Lepisosteus oculatus: one gene and its partners. The protein of the gene in region 3 interacts with the protein of the main gene of each other region in a pairwise test. Links are inferred from orthologs where the notes say so. Each region holds a gene or a part of one and is shown on either strand. Other genes may lie near its edges. The genes, in order: mul1, rnf167, ube2e3 and CCR4-NOT transcription complex subunit 4.

What was found.
Region 1: the proteins of ube2e3 (region 3) and mul1 interact in a two-hybrid assay, tested with the Homo sapiens proteins (2 studies listed by BioGRID and IntAct). The link is inferred for Lepisosteus oculatus from reciprocal best matches to the Homo sapiens genes UBE2E3 and MUL1.
Region 2: the proteins of ube2e3 (region 3) and rnf167 interact in a two-hybrid assay, tested with the Homo sapiens proteins (2 studies listed by BioGRID and IntAct). The link is inferred for Lepisosteus oculatus from reciprocal best matches to the Homo sapiens genes UBE2E3 and RNF167.
Region 4: the proteins of ube2e3 (region 3) and CCR4-NOT transcription complex subunit 4 interact in a two-hybrid assay, tested with the Homo sapiens proteins (3 studies listed by BioGRID and IntAct). The link is inferred for Lepisosteus oculatus from reciprocal best matches to the Homo sapiens genes UBE2E3 and CNOT4.

What each region holds. Positions count from the first base shown.
Region 1 is NC_090720.1:10,744,988-10,752,725, reverse strand, and holds the start of mul1 (mitochondrial ubiquitin ligase activator of NFKB 1), read left to right. Parts: upstream 1-4,665; 5' UTR 4,666-4,931; intron 4,932-7,738. UniProt on the Homo sapiens protein: Exhibits weak E3 ubiquitin-protein ligase activity. E3 ubiquitin ligases accept ubiquitin from an E2 ubiquitin-conjugating enzyme in the form of a thioester and then directly transfer the ubiquitin to targeted substrates.
Region 2 is NC_090698.1:10,553,191-10,561,018, forward strand, and holds the start of rnf167 (E3 ubiquitin-protein ligase RNF167), read left to right. Parts: upstream 1-4,716; 5' UTR 4,717-5,051; intron 5,052-5,162; exon of another isoform or gene 5,163-5,185; intron 5,186-7,828. Other genes in the region: polyunsaturated fatty acid lipoxygenase ALOX15B-like, read right to left, coding at 217-305, 430-700, 1,017-1,289.
Region 3 is NC_090707.1:18,945,496-18,952,658, forward strand, and holds the start of ube2e3 (ubiquitin-conjugating enzyme E2 E3), read right to left. Parts: upstream 3,074-7,163; 5' UTR 2,965-3,073; exon of another isoform or gene 2,946-2,964; intron 1,773-2,945; exon of another isoform or gene 1,758-1,772; 5' UTR 1,751-1,757; coding exon 1,551-1,750; intron 251-1,550; coding exon 200-250; intron 1-199. UniProt on the Homo sapiens protein: Accepts ubiquitin from the E1 complex and catalyzes its covalent attachment to other proteins. In vitro catalyzes 'Lys-11'- and 'Lys-48'-, as well as 'Lys-63'-linked polyubiquitination.
Region 4 is NC_090702.1:25,323,570-25,330,584, reverse strand, and holds the start of CCR4-NOT transcription complex subunit 4, read right to left. Parts: upstream 3,098-7,015; 5' UTR 3,037-3,097; exon of another isoform or gene 2,866-3,036; intron 1-2,865. UniProt on the Homo sapiens protein: Has E3 ubiquitin ligase activity, promoting ubiquitination and degradation of target proteins. Involved in activation of the JAK/STAT pathway. Catalyzes ubiquitination of methylated RBM15.

The DNA of each region.
Region 1 (7,738 bases), on a different chromosome or scaffold from region 3:
CTGCAATATAGCCTATAACTAAATAAAATGCATGCTACATGTTCTTATATGTGTGATGTTTTCCATAACTGTAATTTTAATTAAGTTATTGAAGTGCTCCAATGGTACAGTAGTCACAGTCTACAGTATATACCCACTGCCCATTTGGCTGTTTTTATGAAGTACATTATGCAGGCTTGAACATCAGTTTTATTATTCAAGAACGAACGGACAGAGACAAGATTACTGCAGTCTGGCAGGGAGACATCATCTCTTTTAATTGAATATATAAATTGAGGTAGTAGCAACTAGGGACGGTACAACCTGTTAAATATTTTAAACAGGGCTTCCATTTCAGTTCTGTGCCTTTAAAATGCATTCAGTGTTTTGAAGGCGTTTTAATACTACATCTGCACAGGAAGTGAAACTGAAAATAAATGCAAACAGATCTTGGCAGACATTAAGCTGCAAAGTATGAATGTGGGCATGTTGGTGGGTGTACATTATGCATGATATAGGTCATTTTGCACCATTTAAGTATTTTTTCTGATGCATAATAATTGTGAGTGTCTACTAGAGTATTAATTGTGAGGGCTTTTAATCAAAATCATTCAATTATGTTACGATCACATTTTTCTCTTTAAAAATGCAGCTTCCCCACTTCCTGTTCTGATTTATCTAATCAAAAACACATTAGATAAATATTTAAAAGTTTTCAAAGTGGTACTCCTATTGCTTGAAGATTTTTTTTTTAATATGACCTTAACATTTGAAATATTACCTGCGTCTGTGGCTGGAAGGTTGCTGGTTCCTATCCCGCGGCCGGCAGAGGAATCCTACTCCATTGGGCCCCTGAGCAAGGCCCTTAACCCCAGCTGCTCCAGGGGCGCCGTATAAATGGCTGACCCTGCGCTCTGACCCCCAGCTTCTCTCCCAGTCTGTGTGTCTCATGGAGAGCAAGCTGGGGTATGCGAAAAGACAAATTCCTAATACAAGAAATTGTATATGACCAATAAAGGGATCTTAACAGTCCATCCCTATGAACTGGACATACAGTACAGTATTGTATCTAGTAAAAGCCATTGAAATTACGATAATGAATAAAAGAAACATAGTAATTGCTTTGATGTAACCACAATGTAAAAAAAAACATTTTAAAACATGTCTTATTAAAAGGAAAATCATCACATAATCCTGTGGCAATGATCTATACCTCAAAAAGCATTGCAGGCAAGATATATTATCTGTTAACACATAACATTGTGTTAATTACTGTTAAAGTCAAAGTACTGGATTTTCTATTTTCTTAACCTTTAATTTCATAGATGTTCTCATTCACCAAGATATTAAAATGAGAACGTGCTCTTCAGAGTAAATAAAATCTTCTTATGTCACAGCCATGCAGTTTGGGTTATATGCTCACCTCAGTCTCATGTTATTTGAAATGTTTTGCACAGTGTACTTGTCATCAGTTTATGCATTTGATTCAGGAAAATTTCAATTCTTTGCCATCATATAGCATTGAAAAGTTTCAGCAAGCTGGACCTTAATTGGGAAGAAAAAAACAATTAAATCACAAAGCACTTTTGGACAAACAATACATGATGTATTGTGGATACACAGTTTATGGTACAGATCACATATAACAGATCATAAATCACAGCATTGTCCGAAGCCAATTTGTTTGATTACAAATCCAATCAGCTTGGTAGGGGCTAAAATTAACATTTAATTCACAAGTTAATTAACAATTCAATTAACATATGGTCGGTGTTTCAAAAGACATATTAGCACTAAGACTCGAAAGGTGAAATACAGCACAACACACTAGCGAAAATCAAGTCTAAATAAATATAATTTATTGATCATTTCAAAGGATAGCAACAGGGTTAATTCCATCTTACAAAGACAGCTTAAAGGATCAGAAAATCATCCGTCTTGAACAAAAGAAACTACAGTAAAAAATAATGGAGAATTCATCCATCCTTTTTCCAACCACTTTATCCAAAGCAGGATGGCGATGGAGCCAGAGCCTATCCCAGCAGGCACCAGGTGCAAGGCAGGATGGGACACAAATGTACAAAATAGTAAGTAGTCTCTAGCAAAGAAAAAACTTACATCCAGTGTGAGAGTTGTGATTTCTATTTGGTGTTTTTTACCATGGGAACATTTGATACTTGCAAATTTCTAGACATTATTCTCATAATCTATTAAGCTGCCATTATTATCTTGCACAATTCAATTCCTAACAACTGTAAAGACCTTCTAGTACATAAATATGTAATGTAGATCAATGTAAAAATAGTTAAAATATCATATTTACAACAGTCAAGCAAAATAGATTAATTTAAATACTGTATTACAATGTGCAGAAATAACAAACTGGGATGAGTAACAAGCTTTGAAAGTACTGTCTATATTAAATGAAAGAAGCTCAGTACAATGTATCACAGCAATACAGGGAATAATTGTACATAAAAGTGTGGTTTGAACAGGTAAATTGAGGAAACACCAGAGGGTAACTGAGACCTGATGTTTTTAGGTACCTGTTTCCATGAGTGCAGGATAGGGAAGAGAAGGAACAATGATTGTAATAGATAACTGAGGGACCAACAGAATATCAGTGGAAAGGATGAGAGGATGCATATTGAGCATCATTAATTGGTCACCTAGGGAAGAACTTCAGAAAGAACAGCATAGTTCTGTTTGCTCATTTTCTTAGAACCAAATCTGAAGAACACCAAGGGCTCCAAAAAGCCCAAAGACACTCAATATGTTCGCAGTATGTTCTCCCCTCTGGTCCCCTCCAGAGCGCATTGCCTTTTGTAAACAGGTGGGAAGTTATTCTGAGAGGCTTGGCTTTGTTTCTGCGATTTGTTTACTTCAGTGATTTAACTTGACAGCTAAATGTTGACTCTCCGTGTGGGGGAAAAAAAAAATTATATGAATTGAAATATTTAATATGAATTAAAATGAATTAAAATGATTTAAATGCTGCATTTGTTTGCTAAGTAATTTCAGGTTTATTTATCACTCATTTGTTTTGCTTCCCCAGATTTTAAGGAATCGGATGACGGATCACTTACACAGGACAACAACTATAGCTGCTAACATAACTGTCACAGAAGACATATAATCCTGAATACAATCATTAGGAGGCTATAACAGTAACAGCGTGAGTCAGAGTCACCAAGCTGTGTCATTACAGCTTCTACTTCTGTTTCAGTATGGCCCTCTACACATCACCAGGGATGAGGTTTTCTGAATATTCGAATGGCAAACTGGACTAAGGGTATAATTTTCCTGAGCAATCACGAATATTTGCAATAGAGACTACAATGTTCCATTGAAATCTCTGTAAGGAAACAACACTGTTGTAGTGGTGGTACTGTAATGCTACTGGGGCCATTCATGTCCACCCAAAGAGTTAGTTTATGATTGATAGTGCTTTCGCTGCACAGAATCATGGTATGCTGAGACCTAAGCTCAGCCCATTGGTGCCTGATGATGGTGAGACATGGCGTTACCATAGTAGCAGCACCTGCACTGCATGTCAAAGTGCTAAATTGTCTGGTGGCAGTAAGCAGGTGTTGGGCTTTTGCAGGGTGTATCTTAATTGTTTTGGCAGCCATAGTTGTGATTTCGCTTGAATCATCTCATTTGATTAGTTGATTAAGTACCTTCTAAGGGTAAGTGGTGCTTCTAGAATGCAGTGATCGTGGGTTGAGGTGCATCATGATACCTTCATCTGAGCAGATACACAGTGTCCTTTGCACATGCAAATTCAGAAGTAAACATTACATTCCACACGTAATCGGGAGATAATGAGGAATACAGAAAGGGAAACTTGGGCCGCAAGGGGTTTATCAACGTGCATTGCTCAATTGATCACTAGGGTTGACTATACATATACCTTCTCTTTCTAAAAGTGTTTTGGTATGCTGTCATTTCAGGAGAAATGCTTCAGTTATGGGTGGCACAGTGGTTAATAGTGCTGCCTCACAGTCTAGGGCTCTGGGCTCAAGTCCAGACCTGGGGTGCTGTCTGTGTGGAGTTTTTTATGCTCTTCTCGAGTTTCTTCCCACTGTCCAAAGACATAATGGTAGGTTAATTGACTTCTGGGAAAATTGGCTCCAGTGTGAGTGTGTGGGTGTCTGTGTGTCCGTCTGTCCTGTGATGGAGTGGTGTCTCATCCAGGACATACCCTGCCTTGCACTTGTTGCTTGTGTGGGTAGACTCCAGCTGCCCCCCCTGACCCTGAATTGGGAGAAGAAGTTAGAGAATGGACTGATGAATGCTCCAGTTATATAATGATATAGTGAACTATAACTGGCAGGCTATTAATGTGGTAAAGCACAGAATATTAGTGAAACTTTAAATATACTTTGAAAAAAAATGCTGAAGCATTCAAACTAAGCCCCTTGTGCACTGAGGCCTTTTTTGAGAAGAAGAAAACCTATCGCATCTATCCCATTGTTGGGGTGTGACAGGTAATTATTACTATAGAGAGAAAACTATGTGATGTCTTAGATAGGTCAAAGGCTTCTGAGCACAACAAAGAATTATTCAGTTTATAAGGAACTAAAGATGTAGGCAGGATAATATAAAAAGCGGTTTTCTGATTCAATGTCGCCATCTGCCGCTTGCGGGCTGTTCAGATAATCGCTCTCAGCAATTCAGGTTCCTTGGACGGTCGTTATTATCTATCCAGGGTGCGGGGCGGTTTTTACGTGGGCCTGTGGTTGAATAAAGTAAATCTTTAAGTTAATATTCGAGTCACGGAGCCTAATATTGTTAGAATATTAATACTCAGTGAATATTCCGATTCATAGACGAAATATGTTTGTCTTCTTCGTAAAGATATTCTTTGTAACGGATGCCAAAAGACCAAATTAGAAGCCCTAAAGTTAGCTTGAAAAGTTACGGAGATTGTAGCCACTTGGACCAGGAAGGTAAGAAGAATCTTCCTTTGACATACTACAAATAAATTGAAGATTTTGCATCTGGCCGTGATTCCTAAATGTAATTTTCCGTGTAATTCGTGTTTTTTAAGCAATTGCAGCTCCCCGTTGACGCTGTGTTTACGTAGCTAAACAGGAAGTCGCCTAAAACGTCCACAAATTGACCTACTGTAAACACGGCACGTTTCTAAGTTAAAAATGTTACAGTATATAAGCAGTAAGCACAATGTTACAAATTGTGATTTTTATTTATTGATTGCATGTATGTTCTCGGCGTTAGAATAGCTAAAGTCAACACAAGCACCGGAAATGGAGGTTTTAAATCCATCACAGTTTCAACGACGTAAAATTAAACTAATATAAAGCTTGAGGTCTGCAATTATATGAATACCAATAAAAACGAGATTTTCGTTTCGTGATTCGTGGTTAACGTCGACACGCTAAGTTATTGCTTTCGTAGCATTGTCGGAATGCTATTTTTGCAGTACGTTTATTACAGCCAGGGTTGAGTAGAAAAGCTACCACATATGTTAAGGAAGTTAATAAAAACGAAAATATAGACTAACATGGGCTCCTTGTCACAAAAGGAAGCCATAATTCCATGCTTACGACTTTTCTACAACCTATTGGATGCATTTAAAAAATATTTTGCTCTCTAACCAGATAATGTCCATAAGGAAAAATAAATATGTAGCTACTGTATGTGATAGAAGTCAACCCAGTGGCCTGTACAGTATATTTCCTAGATGATAATAATTCTTCACAGAGAACAGAGTGATGAAGCCAGTTAATGGATGGGGATCATTAGGAGACCATAACTGGTAAAAGCCAGGGGGAAATTTGAGCAGGACACCTGGGTAACACCCCTACTCTTTGAGAAATGCACTGGGGTTTTTTACTGACCATGAAGAGTCGGGACGTCAGTTTTTTCTCATCTGAAGGACAGCACCTTTTTTATCGACTCCTCATCTCTATACTGGGGTATTAGGACCCACACAAACACAAACCTTAGCTTTCCCATCCGGGTACTGGCCAGGCTCACACCTGCTGGTTTCAGTGGGCTGCCATTCGTGAGTTGTAGAGTGATATAGCTGCTAGCTGTCTGACTTTGTTAAAGCAGTAGTGATTTTAATTTTGTTAATCTAAGTGATCTAAATCAGATAGTTTTAAATGTGTTTTTTCTTTGCATTTGATTGATAAAAAATAGAAGTTTTTTTTTCATGTGCAGAGCTTCCAGCGAATCAGCTATTCTTAGTTTTTTTTAATAGGACTAACAAAGGAGCTTCAATTAATTGCAGTACTGAAGACCCTTAGAAAATATAAAGGACCTGTGTTCAGGCTCAGAAAGTCCTCAGGAAAACACTCCCAGGACTGAATTTGTTAAATTTGGAAAAATATTTCTGTTGTAGAAAAGGATCATTTTCCTTAAGCTTTCCAGAGAACTTGAGAGCCCTACCCTGGAGTTCTGTATCCAGCCTGTTGCAGTCTGACTATCCTGGAAAATGACTGACCTTGTTATATTCCAAGCCAGCAGTAGATTGTTTCCGAGTAATTGCCGTGCAACAAGAAAAGCTATGTTTTAGGTTTTAAATTACCCATTCATCATGTATATTTCGCTTGTATAGAGCAATTCGACACAATTCTCGTGAATGGCAGATCTGTATTATGTTTCTTTTATTTTTTATCTTGTGGAATTGTCTGTGAAGAAGCTTGATATTATTGGCAGTAGTACTTCTTTGTGCCACTTGGTGGCAGTGTGTATCATGAAACTATGCGATTGTACATAACCTCTTTAAAATATGAATACTTTTATAATTAAATATCAGCTAGCAAGGAAAGTGATGCAAAATTGTATAAAACAGGTCCAGGTGAGCCCCAATCCAATATGTCTTATCTTCCACCCTATTTAATGAGATTCCAAAGCCTGGGGCTATGATATTGATCAATTAAACATATCATTTACACAATTAAGAGAACTTTAGTATTTGAAAACTGCCTGATCCAAATGATTTTAACTGTTCATTTAGTTGAAATATTAATAAATTAATGATTTTAGGATCACCTATAAGGTATTAAAAGGGTAAATCACATGGTGGCAGTTTCCTCCTCTTTATTCTAAATTCCTGTGTTTCACAAAAGTAGTTAAAAACTGTGAATGTACACTTTTTTCTCCAGTTCTAATTCTGATGTTATGCTGTTGGAGTATGTTAGGTGTATGTAGTAACAGTGCTTTACAGATCTATTTAGACGTACTGTTTCCCGGTACTTCACGAAAAACCAAAGATTAACATTTAATAATGAAATAGCTTGCATGCTATTTACTGATAAACAGAAATAAAACTTTATGATTAATATGTGTCCATCTATTGCCTTTGGTTGCATCACTTTGTTCTGGAGGGGTGTATCATATCATATCATAGGGTATCATATCTGAATTTTCCTCTTCTACACATTGCATAAACTGTTAAAAGCATTTTATAGTAAGTTGATGAGTAATTGCTTGTTCTGCACACAGTGTAGTTACTCAGTGTTGTAGCCTGCCTGGTTGAGAGGAAACTATTCTAATCATTAGCTAGCAGAATGATGTTGCAAAATAATTAAAGAAGTTTACAGTCTGTACTCTCAAAAGCTATAGCAGTTATAAATTACACTTAGTCTAATTCTTTTATCTTTGACAAACAGTAATCTGATCAGATTAGGCTCTTGGCCAACTTCCTTTGCTGTGTTAAATTAGATTTCTGAGGCTGCATTGATGGCATCTCTTGTTGCAGTTAAAAAAAAGCCAGCAGTAACAATAT
Region 2 (7,828 bases), on a different chromosome or scaffold from region 3:
GGGCATTCACAAGAACATTACATGATTTCCCCCCCAACTCTGGTGAACTGCTCGAGGCAACAGCAGACCTGGCTCATGCCCGTTTGCCCATCAACACTTGAGATTGTGCAGATAGGGAAGGAAGAAACCAAAGTGGGAAAGGGGCGAACCTCTGGCCAGATCACCACTTCCATAGTCGGACATTTTAAACTTCACTTCACGCCCCACCGTAGATCAGACCCACCTGTACAGATTATGGCATAACTCCAGCTCTCCAGTTCTCTGCTGTATCAATATGGGATGCTGGTCCTCAAACACCTTCTTGGCTTAAAAAAAAAAGCATAAAAAGCTTAAAACCAGTCTAGAGCTTCTGGTGTCCCCTACATCCCTCTGATCACAACCCTACAGCCAGACGCAAGATTTCCAGGCTTAAGCACGAGAAACCCTGACCTTTGCCCTCCCTCAGCTCCACAGCCCATTTGTCCGACACCCAGCGGTAGCAGGGGAAGAGGACGGTCTCCCCGCTGGGGGTGGTGACCTCCACCTTGGAGCAGAACCAGTCGTCGTCCGGCAGGAAGAAGCCCTGCTCCTTGTCCAGGCGCACGAACAGGAGGTCACCCAGCGGGTCAGGGGCGGAGACTGCCAGCTCCATGACCTGCGGCAAATGACACCCCAGTGGGTTAGAGTGCGCTGGACAGCTCTCTGACCGGGCAGGCAAGACCTGCAGATAAAGGCCAGTACATAGTGAACACGCATCTGCTGGAGTAAGAGTACAGTCTAACACACCACAGAGCTGTTCTTACAAGAACAGGGGGTCTTAATACCAGCAGGGCAGAGCCTTCCTGAACAGACACAGGAGAAGAACCAAGTCTCATCTATCCCCAGGCAAGAGGAGACCGGATATTTTGGTCATCAATGGTATTTTAAGCCACACTATCATGATCTAAGCCCACTCATCCAGACTTGATCTCCGCAAGCCAGAGTGCTATATGAAGTCCCCCTCCAACACCACCTCCACAGGCATTTCCCCTCCTCACCATGCCAGAGGACAGGTCCTGGCCCTCAGTGGAGAGCACAGTGCGCTCGCTCCTGTCCTCGGACCCAACCAGCGTGATGAAGACCCGGTCGAAGGTGCCGGAGTGCACCATGTCACCTGTGGTCACGGTCACCTTGTACGTTTCCATCCTGCTGCTGCTGAAAGACCTCAGCGACAAGAGCATTAATCCCCCCCATCTGTGAGCTTTTATTAAAGGGTCCCACTTAGAACTCACCCTCCACCACTCTCTGTGTAAAGCATCTCTCTTCCCCATATAAACAAGCCTTTCTAACCTCAAACGGCTTCCTCAGCCACAGAATCTGATGCTAGCATTGGAAAGAAGAATGTTGTCTTTTACACAGAGGGCTGCAGGAGTCCAGGGCATGGGGTATCATTCATTGTTGTAGGGGCTTACAATAAAATGAATGAAAATAAACATTTCAAAGGAAGAGTCACTCAAGCCCATGCCCTCCCAGGATCATAGGTGAAGAAGGCATCTATCAGTCTAGATCAGCCCATCCACTAGCACACCTGCAGAAGCTCAGGGGCAGCCAGCCAGCAGAGGAGCTGTGAGCATCGCATCGCTGGCACACGAGCACCTGTACAGACTTAGACACAGAGAGCTCAAAAGTAACCAAGGAGAACGTAAGCATACCCACCTACAGTTCATCCACCCCCACCACAAAGCTGGAGGCCAGCAGCTTCCCTACAAACCAAACCACAACACAAACAAACTGAAAAACCTGCTCTCAATCTGCTTTATAAATGTGCTTCACCCGCCCAGCTGTGTCAGACCCACCTGGACCCAATTAGCACCTGATTGTGCCCGTGATGTCATCATTCCCACGCTGACCTGTAGACAAACAGCCCTAATGAGGATCTAAGTGCAATTATCTCACAGGGAAGTGGGGGATTGAAGCTGACCTCTTGCATGCTGTTATGACTCAACGAGCTGACCAGGCATTATGTATGATGTATTTACCTTGTAATTTGGACCATCTGCACTTTGCACTATGTTTATCCTGTCTACAATGTCTTTGTCAGTGTCCTGTCTGCCTGTATTTTCACCTTGGACGAGGAGGAACGATATTTCCTTCCACTGTGTACTTGTATACAGCTGGAGTAAATAAGCGTGAACGTGAGGCACTCACGAGGGGGTCGAGGAGCCTTCTTCAGCTGTGTCACGTTGTGTCTCTTTTGCTTGGAATAACAGGTTTGCCTGTTCCTTTGCAGCCCATGCATACTTACGCATCTCCCTCCTCCAACTTTTGTGTGTGTGTATGCATGCATGCATGCGCGCGCGTGCATATATGTCCACGTGTGTTTATGTGTGTGCATCTGTGCAAGGGTGTTTATGTGCTCATGTAGCTGTGAGTGTGTATGTGTGCACGACTCAGACACAACACTGAGCTCGGAAGGGAGTGAGCACCAGCCAGCGTGGCTGACTCAGGTCAGATGGGCAGCAGGCCAGGTGGACACAGGAAAGGACAGAGAGAACTGCTGACCACAAGGTCAGACTGAAACCAGTTAACCCAGGACACAGACCGCAAAGACCTGGTTCACCCCAAGACAGCAGATGCAATAATTAGAACAAGAATCAGATCTCTAGCCCAGTTTTATTGAGGGCAGCGAGTCCAGCGGCCAGCAGGGGGCAGTGCAGCTGAGCTGGCAGCTCCTGCCAGAAGTGCTCCAACTGTTTCAGTGGTGCTTCCTGGTCCTCCTCCTCCTCCTCCTCTGGCGCTTCACACTGGACCTCCTGACTCGCCTCCTCCTGCGCACTGGACGGGACGCTCGTCTTCGCCTCTTGGCCATGTCTGCGGTCTGCCCGAGAGGCGGCGCTGTGCCCTTTTTAAAGCCTCCGGGAACAGGCGCTGGGCGGGTGCCGGCTACGTCTCGCGTGAGATCACGGGGCCGCCCCTGTTACCTGACGATGACGTCACCGCGCGTGGCCTTCACGAGTTTTTCAGGGATTGACACGCGCTAAACGCACAGCACCAAAGGCAATTTATTTACCAAATTGAATACAATTTGTTTTCATAGAGAACATTAACAAGAATGAAAAATACTAATAAATAATAAGGAATTCGTTTTTTATTATCCGCTCGTTTTCCAACTGATTTATCCAACACTGTGGCGCACATTATTATTATTATTATTATTATTATTATTATTATTATTATTATTATTGTTGTTGTTGTTGTTATTATTATTAGCCTTTATTTGTCGTATGTACATATACATTAGAATTCTTATTCGCGCCGATCTCTCGGCACATGCTCGGTCCAGCAGATGGCACAGTACGACAGACAACTGTAGTACAGCCGTGTGCGTGGACAGTACATTACAAAACGGTACAGAATAGTTATAGTATGTACGGACTATCAACAGAGCAATAACTACAAACAGAGCAAAAGTCTCTCGTTTGACAGAACTGTCTCGCCTGTAGCTCTATTAGTAGTACTAGTTCTATTAAAAAGAGCCCCGATATGAGGAGTTTTTCCAAGCACAGTAAAATAACCCAGCACGTTGCGCCACAATGTTAGATGCGGAAAGGCGAACGGACTCTCTCTGCCCGCTTGCCGGGGTGGGGGTATCTGTTCAAGGACCGCTCCGAGATGTTCCTCTTTCCTTTTGGTCTTGTTTGGAGATCTGGCGAGTCCGTGAATAAACACATCATGCCAGGAAAGGCTATTTCGTTTTGTACAGGTCAGGGCTTCAAGGCTCTTCTGCAGCGTTGTCCGGTGCTTGTAATGCGAGAATCTCGCCACTAGAGGTCGCGGAAAACCGATCTCTTCAGATCGATAACAATACCGTAATGGAGCAAAACACCTCGACCAGCCTGGATTGTTTCACACTCGTACATCACTACTGCCATGTCTCTGTACGCCTTCCGCAGGGTATGGATAAATCAGTACTTCAGGGAGGAGAGCCGTAGGCTCGTGAAAAGACCCCCCCTCCTCCGCCTGGTCCTGATATCTGGCCCCCGTGTGTGCGAGAGCAGCACAGCTGTAGTGGACAGCACGCGTCTGGGGATCCCCGCAGGAAGAGCTGTCCACAGAGCCAGAGGGGCAGGCGGGCGCTCCGAAATAACAGCTTATTATTTCACTGAGACACGCAGCCCCCGCGGAGGCTGAGCACGCAAGTAACTTAGACAAATGAGCCAGGTCTGACGCACCATATTGATCGCACTTAGTAGGTCGCCGAATATCACGGTTAGCGACAGCCAGGCGATGGCAGATGCGATCTACTGATCGATGATATATTGGGCAAATGCCTGTAACCAAGGCGATTTACAACCACCCGCTCGTTAGTAAATAAACAAAGCCGTATGAAAAACAGAAACCCAGTACCATAATATACTTTCGCCCATTTTGACGGTGAGGCTAAATCTGTTTTAATATAGCTGCTCTGTCTTTCTGGAGGGTATGAGTCCAACACAGAGACACGGAAAGGGGGAATTTAGGACAGACACTGGTAGCTGAACTTGCGTGTTTTTAAGGCAGTGGAGCGGAGTCCACACGGGGAGACCATGCAAACTCCCCACCCACGGCCACTCAAGATCAGAAATGAAACGGGGAGCAATGTCAGCCTCTGTCTGCTGGATCAGCGCGAGAGAGCGCGAGGGGGGGTGATTGCCGACCGATCTGTCTACGGGTCCACGCGGGGTGAGGGGGCGGAAGTGATCTCCATTCTCACCGGCTTCCCCCGAAAGGGTTAACGGGCGTCCAGATAACGCGAGGCCCGGGATGTGGGCGCCTCCATCTTGGATTAGGCCAGGAAATCCAGACACAGAGATCCGTCGCCTGTAGCTACGGCCCTGCTAGCTAGCTAACGAGCGAAACAGAGATGGGGGGGATGTGAAATCTTACGTAAACACACATCGTACTTTCACACAGGAAAGGCTATTTTCCGAAACAAGCACGCACGGCAGACAACTGGAAGTTTTTTCCCCGCAAAAACCTTCAAAATAATACGGGAAAAGCGAGACCGAAACAGATTTGTCGACTTCAAACGACTCGACGACTGTAGTTGAAAGGTAAGATCCGAAACCGGAAGAAATGTATTTTTATGGTCAGCACAATTATTATTGTGGCGATGTGCACGGACTGCTCTGTCGAATGTTTTAATTCTGGTTGCACACAAAAAAACAACAACTCTTCAGTCTTGAAGGTGCGGTACTTTATTTTAGTCCCTGCAAAACGAAAAAAGTAACACTCTTAACTTAGGTAGCTAGATCATTGACTTAATATTAATTTTTAACATTATTTTGAACGCTCTGGGTAGCCTGCCTATGTGTGATGCATACCACTGCGCAATCGACTGGCCGTGTTGAGCAAAAGGGTTATCAAAAAGTAAACAGGCTAGGGGCTTTTTAAAAGTGGGTTTTCCGGTTCTGGACAAGATTAGAGACTTTGTTTACACCGCGGTTTGATGTAGGAGCCGTGCGAATGCATGTTAGCTGATAAGGTAAAGCCAGCTATTTGTGTAAAATGTGACTTATTGTTCACATTTTGTCCTAGCAGCTCGGTTGCGAGAAGTTGATAAGGGGGTGACTGTTCTTGTGTTTGTTTTTCTAACTGTGACACAGGGCACATTCTAGAAGAACATAAAGTGTCCGACGAGAGCAGCGCCGTTCGGTTAGTCCTGATCGTTTGGTTTTCTGAACAGCCACCCGGGTCCGCGGTGATCACTGGAAGTCTGGCTTCTGTCACTGTAGGGTCTTTGCTGTTAGTGACATTATTACAGTCCAGGTCACTGTGGGGTCCTTATTGTTGGTGACATTATTACAGTCCAGGTCACTGTGGGGTCCTTATTGTAGGTGACATTATTACAGTCCAGGTCACTGTGGGGTCCTTATTGTAGGTGACATTATTACAGTCCAGGTCACTGTGGGGTCCTTATTGTAGGTGACATTATTACATTACGGGTCACTGTGGGGTCTTTACTGTTAGTAATATCACAGCCCGGGGCACTGTGGGGTCTTTGCTGATAGTATTATAATTATAGTACAGGTCACTGTGAGGTCTTTACTGTTAGTATAATTATCATGGTATAAGTCAGATAAAGCTAACAACATCCAAAATGTGTTGTGTTGGCCCTGTGTTCAAAGATGCATCAGGTTGTCAGTGTTGTGATCATAAAATGTCAGTGTTGTGATCATAAAGATGCTTGGATGTGGTGTGCACTAGACAGGAGTGAATGAACTGAGAGAAACGCTGCGTGTGAAGAGTTTGTGAGCGATCACTAACTCTGGAGTAAACTTTAACAGTGAATTCTGGGATTCGGCTTTGATTCTGAGTGGAGAAGGGTTAACTGCAGTGTCCCTGGACGCACGGTGGACAGGTGGGATCAGTAGCCCTGATCATGGGGCAGGCCATCCCTTGGCCAGTCTCCTTTCTGTAACAGCACAGGCAGCAGTGCTCTGCAGATGGCGAATGGGAGGTGCTTCTTTACACCAAGTGTGGTGGGTGTCTGGAACAGGCTGGGCTGTTCAAGCAGGTTCCTGGCAGAGCCAAAGTGGCCTCTTCTCGCCTGCGGCCTTCCGTGTGTTTTCGTGTTGGGGGGGGAAACAGGTCTAGCAGGGCTGCACCCTGATCTTCCTCCTGTGGTAAAGAGACACCGGCAGGAGAATTAGGTGCCAGATTTGTCTGAAAGGTATTTATACAGCAGTTGCCTCAGGACATGTATTAACAGAGTACTTTCACAGTGTGAAAGTGTGTTAGAGACCGGAAACCTCTGTCCCATCAAGCCACCCATTGACTCGAGAGCTGAGTGAACCCACGGCACCCCAGCTTTTACACATGGGCTCCCAGTCATGGTCCTGTAGGACCCCACACACACCTGCTGGTTTTCATTCCAGCTAAATTGTAACCTTAATTGTGCTGACAAGTTGGTAGATGGGAACACTTGCAAGTTTTTTGAAGGGTTGCTCACAGAATTCATGGGTGAATAGGTGACTTCCAATATATTTTAGAGCTGAAAACGGAGGAACAGTTCGAATCAGTACTTTTATTTATTCAGTCAAGGGGTCGATTGTGTCACGGAGAGCTCAGCTGTGATTAGACCCAGTGTGTGGACCTCCAGAACCAGGACTGGGATCCGCCGCAGGTCCAGGAAGCTGGAATTCTGTGTCTTCTGATTAATGAGGTCTGCTGTCACTTGGAATGGGTCTGCTCCCGTGTGCCGGCACTACACGCCCTTCTGGGCACTCTTGGGAATCTGCCCTGATGCCTCCGAAGCTCCTCGGATCCTCACTGGCAAGGTGGTTTGTCAACATCCAGAAGGATGACGGCAGATCCAGGACGCATGTCCGACTGGGGAAGGAACTGGGCGTTCAGACAGCGTGCAGTGGGCGCAGCTCTGATGGTGTGATCAGGGCAGCTGCGGTGGCGTCCCAGTCAAAGTCCGAGCCGGTGCAGAACTGATGGGGAAGGAGCTCTGGGGACCCCGACTCCCCCGAGGGAGCCCTAGAGTCGAAGGGACGGGGCACGGAGAGGGCGAGGCGCCAGGCCCAGGCCCTGCTGCTGTGGGCCTTTCCTTCCGTCTCGGCGAGCTTCTGTGTTTTGAAAGTCACCATGAAGTACGTAACGTCATGTGAAGTGTCAAAGTGAAATTCCTGGGACTCTTTCGCTTCCAGTAAGTGACCTTGTGAAAGAGGAAGGGCTCAGTGCACTCTGGGCTCGAGGCCAGCTGCAGCCAGACATGTTACGCTCTGACTCTGCACTGCAGCCAGATGCGGCGCTGGCCTGATGGGAGCAGAATGACCTCTGATCTCGCACCTGGGCACGCCATGCTCTGACTGCAGGAGAATGA
Region 3 (7,163 bases):
CTAAAACATAAGAATCTCATTTTCCTGGAATGCCAGCCTTGTAACAAAACTCAGAAAATATCTACTGGCATCTCATAAACTGCTTAATATATCAAAACCTCTAAAAACATCAAATGGCAACTACCAGTTTTTGATTTTAATAAACATTTGTCAGTCAAATTAGCCCCCAAAGAAAACAAACGCAAACTACTCTACATACCTGCAGTTAGGCGGAGGATCCAGAGTAATTTCAGCTAGCTCCTTCTGAATTCTGTGAGAAAATGAGAAAAGACTCTGAGAATTTAAAGTAGTCGGGGAATTACACTGCCCTCTACCACCACGCAGTTAAATGCAAGACTGGCTTTCCCTTCAGTAAAGCTAACATGGCTGCTTCCTCTTTGTTCTCAGAGGCATAACCCGAATCCCATAACAGGAAAACTTTGCAGCATTTATTTCTCGCCTTCTCTTCACCTTATAATGCCACTCTTCACACCACCATACAGGTTTCTTTTATAGGCATCTGACAAGACCGCAATCTTCAGGTTCCAGCCACTTCCTGCACAAAAGATTTTCTTTTAAAGCTTATATGCAAATGAGACAGAAAGGGAGGGGGGTTGCTCAGGCATATTTGACAAGGGCTTTAAACCAATGCTTTAATACTGTTACTAACTTAAGAGCATGCAGGTAAAATGAAAATATTCCACTTTTTTTCATTTTAATGTTTTTCTATGCTCTATTCCCCACATTTTGTAAACTTCATTTAAAATATTTTTTTTCTTGATTTAAAGTATGACTCCAAGTGTTCTTAATCTAAAGCCGTGATTTTCTTGCTGCAGCAGCTGTCCGATCTTCCTCCACTGCATGCTATTTGTCCCTGCCTGTGCTTTTATTGTAAACAGCAGCCTAATGTCACCCAAAATCAAAGGTGATCATATCGCGTCACTCGTCTATTCAATGAGGTCTTACAGTTCTACCTCCTTTTGACTTAGAGGCACACAAAAGTAACAATAGGAAAGTTGTTAAAAACACATATGGAAATGAAAACCCAAGACTTCAAAGTCACACCAACAGCATAGAAATGTCAAACTCATTTGCCGACACACCTGTTTAGTCCAATAAGCAGTGCATCCTTTTACCTTAATACAGAACTTGATCCTTCCAACCATAAATTATTAGCGAAAGAAAAAAAGAATGATTCAATATATATCTGATGTATGAACATAGTAAAAAAGTGACTCCTTTTACTCATGATTAAGCAGTAAGAACTGACTGGAGATGTTAAGAAGTTGGGTTTATGAAGCCTTCAGTGAGTTACAAACTCAAAACCTACCCTTAAATAAAGAAACCATCAACTAGAAAATCATCTTTCATAAAGCAATTTGTCTAAAAGAATGCGTTAAGACATTGTTTAAAAACTTAAAAACATTATATGTCTAGAACATCATTTATATTAAATTAGACCTAATGATGGACCGTAAGGGTGGCCTCTCTTACAAATATGTGAGAAAACATTAACCTTCAGGAAACCGCAAACACGCCGATTTACAAAAAAAAAACGAAACAAATGTTACCTTTTAGCACTGGTGGACAGTTTAGCTGTTGTTTTACTGGATAATTTGGTATTTTTCTTTTGCTGCTGAGTTGCTGTGGGCTGTTTTCTCTCTTCTTGCTCCTCAGGTTCTGGTACCGGCGGATCCCTCTGATCCGCATCAGAACTGCCACTGCTGGTGCTCGGACTTTCGTCGTCTGAACGTTGTCTGTCACTAGACATTTTCCCCCTTGAACAACAAGAACTTCTGAACTTTGACTGGAGTTGCTACACCACCCTCCCTCCCCACCTCGTACTTCACTAACAGCACATAAGTGCTTAATCTGTGTTTTCTGCACCGTTTCTCTTTTGGATATGTTTATAAACAGCGCTACTTGCCTATTGATTTCCTGAATGCACTACTTGCATTACTGATTGCTGATAAACTTTTCAAATACACACAAATGCCATTGCAAGCTTTGAAAGGTAGGTTATTTCCAAGCGTACTGATCATTACCAGCCCCAAATTAATAATGTTTATTGTTAGGCAACTGTTGGGATTGTAACTCGTGCAACCTATATGTAGCTGTGCAGCTGTAATCATCTAGAAACTTATCCATTAACTATTGTAGGACGTGTGTTTTTAGTAAGAATGAACAGAACTCTATACACGAATTCGTGCGGGACCCGCAAGAACTGTGCATTATTGTGTAGAATTCTGAGGTATGCACGTTATTTTAGTACTGTGTTTTCCTTCTGAAGGGCAGGCGATGCACGCGTTTCCAAGCGTTGATCAGAAACGGTAAATAAACATCTATTTCAATATTTAAAATGATTATGTGCCGCAAAAATTAACAGTCAATAAACAGCTTGTAAATATTTACACTACCCACCGTGCATTTGCATCGTTGACAGTAATGAAGTATTTTACATGCTTTACAGAGACATAGCTAATTCTCTTTCCATATTGCTATTGTTTAGTGCGAGTGGACTTTTTTCTTTGCCTCTAAAAGCATTGAGGCTGGAATGTTTTGAGAAAATGACACGGAAAAACACGGCTATTTACATCGCCAGCAGCACACAGAAATTGGTCGGATTCGAGAGCTGCAAGGAAAGCATAATTGCACCTTTTCACAGCGAGGGGGGCTAAATAAAACCTTTTTATGTTTCGCTCACTTTAAGGAAGGAGCGTCATTTTACCGACGAATAAGAAAATATAACTAATTTGCCGCGGACTGGGAGCAAAGTAAAATTTGCGGACCCGAGCTTTAAATCCTTTGTAGAACGAAGAGGTTTGTTATGGTAGGAGGCACTCCAGTATCAGCATGGTGTACCAACTGATGCGTGAAGTCAGTTTCTAGCTCCCTCTCTAGCGACAGCTGCTAAAAATACTAAGAAAGGACGATAATTCTCCCCCTACCCCGGACTCTTCCTATACCTGAAAGCTTCTTCTTTACCTTTAGCGCGATCCTGTCCTGATCTGGGGCGGTTACGAGTGGTAAAAATCCTGTGGAAATGGAGCCGGGAAGACGACAGGCTCCGGCCGAGCTGTGAACATTGGAGAATCGGAAGGAGAAGAGGGGTTGTAATTCCAGCTTGATTTCAGCAGGTGGCGCTGCACGGCGCACGAGTCTCGGGACTCGGAGCAAAGCTGTGAGGCGGAGGGAGGACGGCTCTTCTGGATCACTCCCTCCGCAGGATAATGTGCCAAAACAGCCGACTCAGCGATTATGGTTCTGGCTGCCACTGCTGCGAGTTCATTCTGAATTGAGAATCCTGCGCGCACTTAGGATTTATTAAAAACAGAGGGCATCTACAGGAATTCATAAGTGCCAAGGACAATGTTTTTTTGTTGTTTTGTTATGCAATAAATTAAAGGACCGGGAAAGGACAAGTGTCTGCTCTCATTTAGCTGTGTTCCAAACTTTTCAGAGTGTAAATTCTATGTGGAATCTTAAGTAAAGTTCTGTACTTTCCAACATCAGGGTGCAAGTTCACCAGTTACCTCAGTGACTTATAACTGCCCAGTCAGTTAAGGGTAATTACTACGAAGAAACTTGAAAACATCTGGACAATCGTGTAAGAAGAAACCTTGGTAAGCATGGCAAATCAGGTCGTAATGCGTTCTTGGAGAAAATAACTGGATATGTCATGGTTCTAAATAATTTACATTTTAACGTTTCGAATAAACCATGAGACTGTGGCTGGTTCGTCTTTTATGTTTTCAAGACCGATAAACATTTTAGCAAAATTGCGACTCTTAAAATGCAAGCAACATTAAAAACGATTTGAATCAACAGTGTCCATAGTTTGGACTCGAGTGCGGCGTCTAAAAGGGCAATCATTCTTTTTTTTTCAACGAATACGACGCTAAAATATTTGCTTCATGCACAATAAGCCAGGAAGAAACGAATCACAGCAATTATAAATCTGGAAAATAGACATGCGATGAAGTGCCTTCTCTGTGCAAAAAGCAATCACCTGGAATGATTTGCAAACATTTTGTTAACCATGGGAATTTACGCACTCCGAACGTTAAGCGATACAGAAACCACCTGTGCTTGAGAGAGAAGCATTATCTAGCCATGAAATGAATGATACTTGTTCTGAATACTGTAAACACCAGGTTGTTTTTAAAGAAGTTGCTTTAGTTAAGGTTTTTCATTATCATCATCAAAATGTGTCATTTAAAACTCACAACATTAGAAAAATGTTTACGTTCATTTCTTGATTTTGTTTCACTGAATAAGACAGATTACAAGAAAAATAATTACATTAGAAAACGCGTGTGAAACGTTTTAAATTGATCTTCCATAGCTGGCTTTCACGCTAACTTGAACTTTGCCCGTGCTCCAAGCTTTCCAGGAATGATGACATCACGATCAAGGATATGTTAAAGATAGTTTTGGCGTTTGTTGTCAAGAACAAATGTGCGTCTTTCTACAGTTATCCTCGGGAATCCTCTTGCTTGATTTACATAACAATGACAAATATAACAAATGTTGTCATCAGTTGCTCTAATAACAGTCATTTGCTTTTAATAAGAACTGTACTTATGTGAGTTTTTATGTGTTAAAGTTGCATAGTTTAAAATTTTATTCCAGATAAGTTATTTGTTTCACCATTTACCTCATATTTGGAGAAGCTTACAGAAATAATTTGTCGTTTCCTACACAAGAATGCCGTTTTTCCTTTTGAAAGGAAAACAGTGTGGTTCTCAAACTGATGAAGAAAGGGCCCAGGCCAATTCTTAAATTAAAAAAAATAAATTCCAGAAAACAGATGAAAAGGCTTGTAATAATGTTTAATGTTGCTTTATTAGCCCTATACAATTTCTTGCATTAGGAATTCATCTTTTCGCATACCCCAACTTGCTCTGCATAAACAACAGACACACAGACAGGGCGAGAAGCTTGGGGTCAGAGCACAGGGTCAGCCATTGTACAGCGCCCCTGGAGCAGCTGGGGTTAAGGGCCTTGCTCAGGGGCCCAACAGAGTAGGATTCCTCTGCCGGCTGCGGGATTTGAACAGGCAAACTTCCAGTCACAGGCACAGATCCTTAGCCACAGAGCCACTGTTCCATCCCACAGCCACTGCTCCACCCCACAGGTGTAAGTGTATTTAGTCTGTTTTGTGGGTCTGTTAGAATATTTTCTGGAATTTTCTAAATCTGCTCTAACTGATTTAACTGGTCTTAATGTAACTAATGCGTTCTTTCAGGACCCTATGCAGACAACACAATCCAGGGAGGAGTGAGGAAAAACCGGGAAAGTATGCAAGGGGGCTGGAAGGAAAACAGGGGGCGTGTCCATGGTGCACTGGTGTTCTGGGGGGGTAAGTCCAAGGCAAAAAGTCCAAGGAGTGTCCATAGGGAAATCCTTGATGAGGCAAATATCCAGAGCCGGGTGGTCCATTCAAAACGAAGACAAATGGAGTTAAAAACCGGAGCTGGATCCGGCGGAGGGTCGGGGGGAAAAAGGGGGAACGGGACCTGGCACTCCAGGTCCCGGACTCGGCTGGTACTGGAAACCAATGAAGAGCCCGGAACACAGTGAGTGTCTGGCTTTAGTAGGGAGGCAGGAACAGGGAGCAGGTGCACAAAATCAACTCAAATGTGAAAGAGCTGGAGTGCTCTTAAGGGGGAGGGGCTGCAATCGTGACACTCAATGTCCTTTTTGCATGAGACAGTAATATTCTTCCTTGATTCCCCAGGCATGCATTTCAGTTCAGTTTAATGTGTTCTCTTATGTTTAAATTAGGTAATTGGTTTTGCCACAGAAATCCCTCCTTTCCTGTCACGTTACATTTCCTGTACCATTCCTGAGGAGGTTTGTCAGGCATCCCAGTTTGAGTCCTGGTGCCAGTTATAGGGCCTACTGCTCAATCTGTCCACAAGTTCGAAGCTGACTTTTCTTTTTCTTAAGTGTGCTTGCAATGCCAGCTGCTGGCAGTAGGCTTTCTTAAGGATTTATCATGGCAAGTTTTTGCCAGTTTGTCTGAAATCCCTGCTTCTAGTAAACTGCAGTTGTGTTTGATTGCAGTGGCTCTGTTATCTTCAAAAGGTTTGATAGAAGCAGCAGGGTAATCCATTTCTGAAGACAGACAGGCGTACCTTTGTAGAAGGTGTTTTCTTCTCAGTGCTCTTCGGGAGGTTTACTTTGAGATACAGATTAGATTCCTTTCTTAAACTGTTGAAAATAACCTCTCTAACTTAAACAATTTTTGTAGTGTTTTTTTTGTGTTTTTAATTGGAACTGCATTGTTTCTGAACATTGAAAATTACATAAATTGATGGTGTTCTTTGATGTCGTCATTCAGTATGGAGCAGTGTTTTTTGACTGCTCCAGTGTGTAATTTTAAAAAACGAATCAATTGGGGCATATCTTTGATTAATTGGAAATCTCTATGTATTTTTTTAAACCAATGCAATTTCCTCCACTGAGATAATAGTACTGTGTAGTACATGGCAATTACTAATGAAAAAAAAATGTTTTTAATAGGTAATTGATATCTAGAGCTCATCCAAACAAAACAAATCAGTGTATCAGTTTCAATAGCATGTCTTAGCCTGTTCCAGACCCTCTAGATTGTTCATGTAAAAGAGCTGTCTCCAGTTAACTGTTTTAAATACACTTCTCATTGTTCCACTTGTGTCATCTGGTTCCTTTTGCACTAAACAGGTTGGCTCCCAACGTTATTTTTGCAAAGTTAGTGAAAGTTCGTGGTGTTGTTAATGGTGATAAAAATCAAGACCTTCTAAGGTCCTAAAGAGGCTTTAGGTTGCCCAATCCAGAATCCTACACTTTGTGTGCTGAGAAAAAGCACTACATGAGCACATAATCCCCCCAAAACTTAGATTGGACTTTAAGGTTTTTCCTGTTACGCAGAAGATTTTGAATGGACTAGCTTTATGTTATTTTAAAGATTAATAGCATGAGCATACTCCATCAAATGGCTGATAGAGCCTTGTCTTGTGTAGCACCATGTCCATGGAACTCATTTCACAAATCCATTAGATAGTCTGCAACTCGACATTTTCAAATCTCTCTTAAAGACTTATCTTTTCACTTAAGCTTTTAATATATAATTTAGTTTTACTCTTCATATCACAGTCAATTTGCTATGCTTTCTCTTCCCATTTTCCTTCTGTTATTGT
Region 4 (7,015 bases), on a different chromosome or scaffold from region 3:
ATTTTTGAAGAAACACTTGGAATGCTGTGATGGTAGTAGGCACTTTATAATAAATGGGTAAAAAATGACTGGAAAACTTTCAAATTAGGACATTTTCCAGTAACCAAAAAAAACATTTTAATTATGTAGATACTTTTAAAGGCAGAAAAGCCACAGCTATTAGCTAAGGTTGGCACTCTCCATATTTCCTAGAAGCAAGATAGCTTATAAAGTGTAATTAAAGTAGATACAATTTCTCAAAAACTGAAAGAGATGCATTGAAATGGTGTAGAGATTCTTAAATGTTGCTTAAATGTCTAAAAACCAGCGAATTTTAATTTCTGTGGTTTTGGTCAACTTTACCGCAACATCTCACATTACTCAGGCCTAAAAGCTGAGCCTTTTAACACTGAAGTGGTTCAGAGACTCCTGACTCCAAAATACACAAAAGAAAACAGACAACTTTTGCAGTTACTTAACAGTCTGTTAAATATGCTTTAAATATGCAAGGTAATTGTACATTACCTTGGTCCTTACTGATTTATCGTTTGCAGGTAGATCATAACAGGTACCAAAAATAAATATGCATTCCGTTTTCCCGGTTTTGGACAATAGACATCAGCAAACAAAATTAAAGACATTTTGAAACTACACGAGAAACACAGAGAACATGATGAAAACATAATGAACACAACGACCAGTCATACAAATTCTAACATCCAACTTCTCATATCTTTGTATCCTAACCTACCAAACAGCACAGAGGAAAACACAACGATGCCATTTGCCAACGTCTATGTTTTTGAAGAGATGGTTAGCTGTTTAAAGATATCTATTTATCAATTCCGAGACAAGACTGAAGAGAAACTAACCCGTTCTTCTGACTTTTGAATATATTATGCAGTGAGCTTTGTGATAACACACAAGACACCGCAGAAAGGTTTTCAGGATAATGGGGGAAAAAAGTGGCCACCACAAATATCACATACCAATATTATGGGCCATTTTAATTGCCTAAAACAAGAAATGTTCATGTTACCACTGTGAGAAACTACAGAAGCACTTAGCCTTTATCACTCATTTGCAGACACATGAGGTGTAATAGATGTACCAGACATGGAGCGCATATGCACTGTCCTGGCTTTACTCTCTGTGCCCTAACCTGGGAGCACTAAGGCTTTGTAGGCAAATTATTTCATATTTTTGTAACTTCAATAACCAACTGCCTTAAGACATTTCGTTTTGCATCTATCCTGGATACATACATGTTTCCTCAGGCTGACCTTAAACATGCTGATGACTTCCTGATTCATAGCTTTCTGGCATCACCTGCTTCTACTCAACCACCTTGGGACATATCGATAAGATGCTGTCATTTGTCTTTAATTGTGGAGGTGACACACACCACTGGCAACGTGTGAACTCTTTATCACTTGTTTACAGTCAATTTTCTGTGCACATCATACACACAACTAAAACTCTGCTTCACTTGAGACACCCTCCATTGAAAAGACAACCCCTCCAGCTGGATATAGCTTTTCTGGCACTTCCACATTAAAGACAGCCGTTCCCAACAATACTGAACAACACTGAAAAGAAAACCACACGGATTGAAGACCTGCAGTTTATCTATTCAGGGAAATATAATAATAGGGAGGAACACAATCATCATTCCTGATCTTTTTGTAAATCATTTTACTTCCAACTTGACCCGAAGAGCATATGCATATATATATATATCCTAGCATCCCAGAAAAACAAAATATACCTATCATTGTGCAGTTTTCACTGCATTTTAAAACTCCTTCCCAAGCATTTATAGTGCAAATCCCTGTTTTCACAATACAATGTTACTAGCTATGCTAATCTTTTTAAAGTACTACTGGAAATGCATGCATAATGTTATCCTACCATTTATAGGTTTATAGGTTTGAACATTTATTTAGAAAAAAGGCAACTGACTTAAAACTGTCCATGATTAACAACGCAACAAACAGACCAACACGATACGTCTCACGACTGGTCCTCAATTTATAACGTAATGTACCTTTAAATAAGGAAGAGGAAATGTTAAACTTATGATTTAATGGAATTGAACACTTCGGTGACTTCCTTCTAGAAAACAACGCATTCCCCTGAGTTCGTAATTAAAATTAAATCTGCTGGAATATATTATAGCACAGCGTAACCATTATGGCACAGTTTGCCGGTCAACTCTTCTAGAAGTCTTAGACCACAGGACAATTTCACTCCTGATAATATTTTGTAGCTACGACACATTACGAAAGCATTGGCGTATTACCAGTGGTAAAAAGTGGGAGATTTAGCTTAAATAAACATATCCCTTTTATTTACAATTAGCCTCTTAACCAAGGGATATGTTGCCTTTTCTTTTACTCCACGCAAGCCCTGTGAGTGTCTGATCTCAATCATTACACACCCCAAATTGTGATGTTTTGCGCTCGCAATATCAAAAAGCCGGTCAAGTGCATCCTGCGTTTCCACTGAACGCGAAATCTGAAAAAATCACATGGCATGGATATTTCATTTCATGTACAACCCGATTATGATGCGTTGCGGCACAGTGCCTCTTTTAAAGCAAGGGTGTAGCAAAATATCTAAAGTGAAAAACACAAGAGGCGTTTTGCACTCGCAGCAGTGCGGCCTGTACAGCCCCGGCAAAGCCTGCGGACTCTCCCTCCAATCGGATCCCAACACAGAAGACACTTCCACACAGACATTGACGCTGCTTCCTTCCCATAACTAGGAGCCAAAGAGAAAGGGTGGGAATCTACTGAAAGATGGATTTTTATAGAAACATATACATATCTTCCACTAGCCTATCCCAGAATCCTAGTTTATGGTGATAGTTTGTGGGATACTCACCCTGTCTCTCTATGGCTCTCTGAGACTCCTCCAAAGGTATATTCAGATCAAATGGGGCGGGGATTGATTATCTTTCTGAACTGCCCAGAATTGTGTTAGCAGGCACCTTGAATTCTTTCTGCGTTTTTTTTTTGTTCAGTTTGGATTTGATTTGTTGAGCAAATGCCTTGCCTTTTCTTTCAGCCTCTCTGTATGTTGCAGCAGCACCTTCTAGCCACCATCTTACATTGGACTAGGGAGGAGGGGGGGGGGGGGGGAGTTGAACATTCACATCGTAGTGAGTGTGCGCGCCTGCTGGTCTCTCGGGGCATGTGGTTAATGTAGTTTTAGGTAAAAACACATTGAAGCAAATTTGATTAAATCTTAAGGTTTATTATTTCTGTATAGTGTCGTATCAATAAAGCATCATATAAACAAAACCATAATTTTAAGAACATTCAACTTGAAATACACCTCAATAGCACAAATACATAATTTGCTCATTTTAAGTACTACAAATCCCAAGATGCTCTAGCTCAACAGAGAAAATTGTTACACATGGGGGAGGGGTGATTTTTCTACTTCTCTGACGTGCCCTTTCTCTGATGTAATTGGGAAATGTAGTCATATCGGAACTTCTTGTGCGACTGAGAAACTATCCGAAGCCCATTCCATCCGACTTAGAATTTAAAAGTTTTTATGACATGTTTTTGAACAATTAAAAATAATTTAGAAGCTCAGACATTAGGTTGCTTAACACATTTTAAATCTTCAGACTATGTTAAATTAAGTTTATTTTTTACTCCTAATTACGATTTTTAATCGGAAATTGAATCTTAATTTAAAATCTTAATTTGAAACATTAAGTTGTAACAAGAAAATATTTTAAAAGAAAAGCTTAATTTTTAAACAAAAATGTTATTTATTTTCTACCTTTAGTGTTGAAACGCCGTCAAAAAACAATCGCCCCCACATGAATATTAACCACAAATACGGTATAATTTAACTTTAGTGTGACGTTTATCAGAACCTTTACATACCCCTATAGAAGGGGGAAAGATTCACCTTGTCTAATGCAACATAACCCCCAGCGACATCTTCTGAAAAGAAGAATATCACTTTAGTGTACATTTATTAAATAAGGATCGTTATCACAACAGAAACAATTTTGGTCGAATTGGAATACTATTCGACACCGGTACACATCACCGTTTTCCAGCCGTGTTTCTCACCGGTGTTTCTACTTTGAGCCGTATGGCTACTACACCTGTCGTAGCAACACTGTAAAGTACATACATGTAGTTTCTTTGCTCAAGACAACACAGAAAATGACAAAGTCAGTGGCGTATAAGATAAGGATAAGACCGATAACAGTACAAATAGTCGAACTCCGTAATAGACATAGAATTAAGCTACATGATCCTGTATTTTAGTTTTTGCGTAGTATTTTACAGCTGCTTCGTTTCCTCATTTCCAGCTGTTGAGAATGATGGAAATGAGGAAATCTGATGGAAATGGAAATCTTCTTTATCTTTTAATTTTTTCCTTTGTGCACAAGCAAAGTCCCGATGCTGTTGTTAGGTAACGTTAATGATGATTCCTGTCCAGAAGGCACAGCCAGCAGAAGATTTACTAGTCCGGAGGCTTTACACGATGCCTTGTGGTGTCACCCATCACAACCTTCTGAGTGACATAATGGCTCATGAATGAGGAGGGGCCTGTCTGGGTTGTAAACAGTCCTAGAAGAAATGGTATGCATGATCCTCTTTTTGACGTCCCTGGTACAGTTAGATCTCCATTGGGACTCATAGAGATAAAAACGTTTGTTGAAACGTTGTTGAAAAGGTGACAATAGAAATGATGCGCTCTAAAAAGAACTTTTTTTACAACTTTTATGCGCTAGAGTGTTTTCTTATTGTTTGTTGAGTTAGTACAAAATGTGTATTTGTCCTTGTATATTAAGTCATGTTTTTCATGTTGTGATGCTCAGCCTCTGCTTGCTGAATGGTAACCATCTATATCAATACACTTCTAACCTATTACCTTCCATCCTCTTCCTGGATGATCTTTTACAACTCTAAACCTCTGAATACCTTTATACAGTAGCCTCCCCGCAGCCCCCCATCCTCCTATTACGTGACTATGTTATTGAGTAATTTTTGGCCTGTGCATGCTGACATTGCTGATTCCTTTTCTTTTATTTTTCTCACTAGCAATGGCATCCAATTGCACAACGCCTTGCTCATTCTTCTCTTGGGAAGGGGGGAACAGCAGACGTTTCTGCTGCTGATCCTGTCTAACAAGTACAATTGTTTTACACCAATTAGAGTCTAACTGTAATGTGTCTGACAAATACTATTCTTACTTCTTACAAGTGTGTCTTCAACTGGCATACCCTGAGTATTTCACAATACCAAAAAAAGGAGAAATGAAAAAATGCAATAAAATATTATGAATCTGTTACTATACTTCAATTGCAATTGAGAATACATTCATTTATCTTTTTTAGGGAGCTTCTCAGTGATTAAACTAGAAACTGTGCTGTGCAGCTGTGCAGCTCCTTTTCGGTTGTCCTTAGAGCTGATCCTGAAGAGCTTTCGCAGTCCTGAGCATTACATGTGATGAGTTTTGTTTGCTTCAAAGTTGAAAAAAATCTTCTGATTGTAATCATACAGTAGGGGATCATGAGTATTAAGGTTGTTAGTTAACTTCAGAGAAGCTATTTTGGAAGACCAGCTGTGCATTATTTTGTGCTGGTCAAACTCTTTCCTTTGCAGACTAGAGTTGTATATATCATGCAGTTTTTCGCGGAGCCAGCTGCGGTCACAAAGGTGGGATATGATGCTTCCTGAGATTTCATTGCATCATGGAGGAACTGTTTGGAATTCTGTAAACCTTTTTGGATTTAGTTCTCGTTTTACACTTCTTTGATCTAACAGTGAACTGTTCAGTGATGTTATCAATTATTTCAAAAATAGGTACTTGCATGTTTTGTCATCTGCACTTTTTTGTCTCACACTTTCCTACCTTGATTTAATGTATACTGAACTCCAAAACCTCTTTCCAAAATTACCCAGCTCTTTGGCAAATCAGTGGAATAAAAAATACAATATCATTCAGCTTGGCTTGAAGCAGGTTAAACAATAGCTCTGTTACTTTAAAAAAGTCACTGTTTAGATATTTTCTACTTTACACCATTAAGCCTAATCAGAAACCCTTAGGCTAAGGAAAAGGAGCAGTAGCATTTCAAACTGCAAGATTTTACACCTCACTTTCAAAACATTCAGTCAGAGCCTTTCTGCTTCGCTTCACAGTTTGTGAAGAAATTCAGACTGCCTTGTAGATTGGGAGAAAAATGTCACTGATATAAAATGTCATCCTGTTCACCATTCTTATAAAATATTAGCTCTTGTTCTCTGAGATTATGCCCAACATGGATCAGGCTTTGCAAAAGCCAGTTTCTGTTGCACACATAGCTGCAGATCAATGTAAGCTTGACCAAGTGTTCTTAATTGTTCATATGCTGTAGCTGTCACTGACTAGTTTAAAGGTGCTCATTGAGTTTCAAGCACATCGCCCACAACATGGAAATAGAGTTGTTGCTGCTTTTTTGTGCCTTCCAGATGGTGAAATTCACCAACTGTATGCACTGGGTAGCTTTGCAAAGCACAGTTGTAATACAGACCTAGACTGGAACTTACTGGACTTACACTCTTCTGAAGAGTGACACCACAAGGCATCATGGAACCTAGAGTAGTGTTTCGTTGCCCAGGCAACCCAATGCAACTACAGGCATTGTGCAATCTGTGTTCACAAATAGATGAGAAGGGACACAGGTGTTATCACCTTTTCTCTCTGGGGAACATACAGCATTACAGTTCAGATATTTTCATGAAATTATATTAGTTTATATTAGTTTGTAGTAGTTTTCGTGAGACACTCATTTAATGTAAATAGAAATAAATAAGGATGGAGACACAGTTCTGCCAAGTACATCTCTATAGCATTCACAACCGTCAAGGCATTTATCTACAGGCACTGCAGGCAATTTACCAGCCCAGCAGAGGGAGAGGTGGAGGCTTTGCTCAAATTCACCAAATTTCACCAAAGTTGATTCACAACTTGCAATCACTGTTTTGTTTGTGGGGCAGAGGGTTACAGAGCCCTGGGT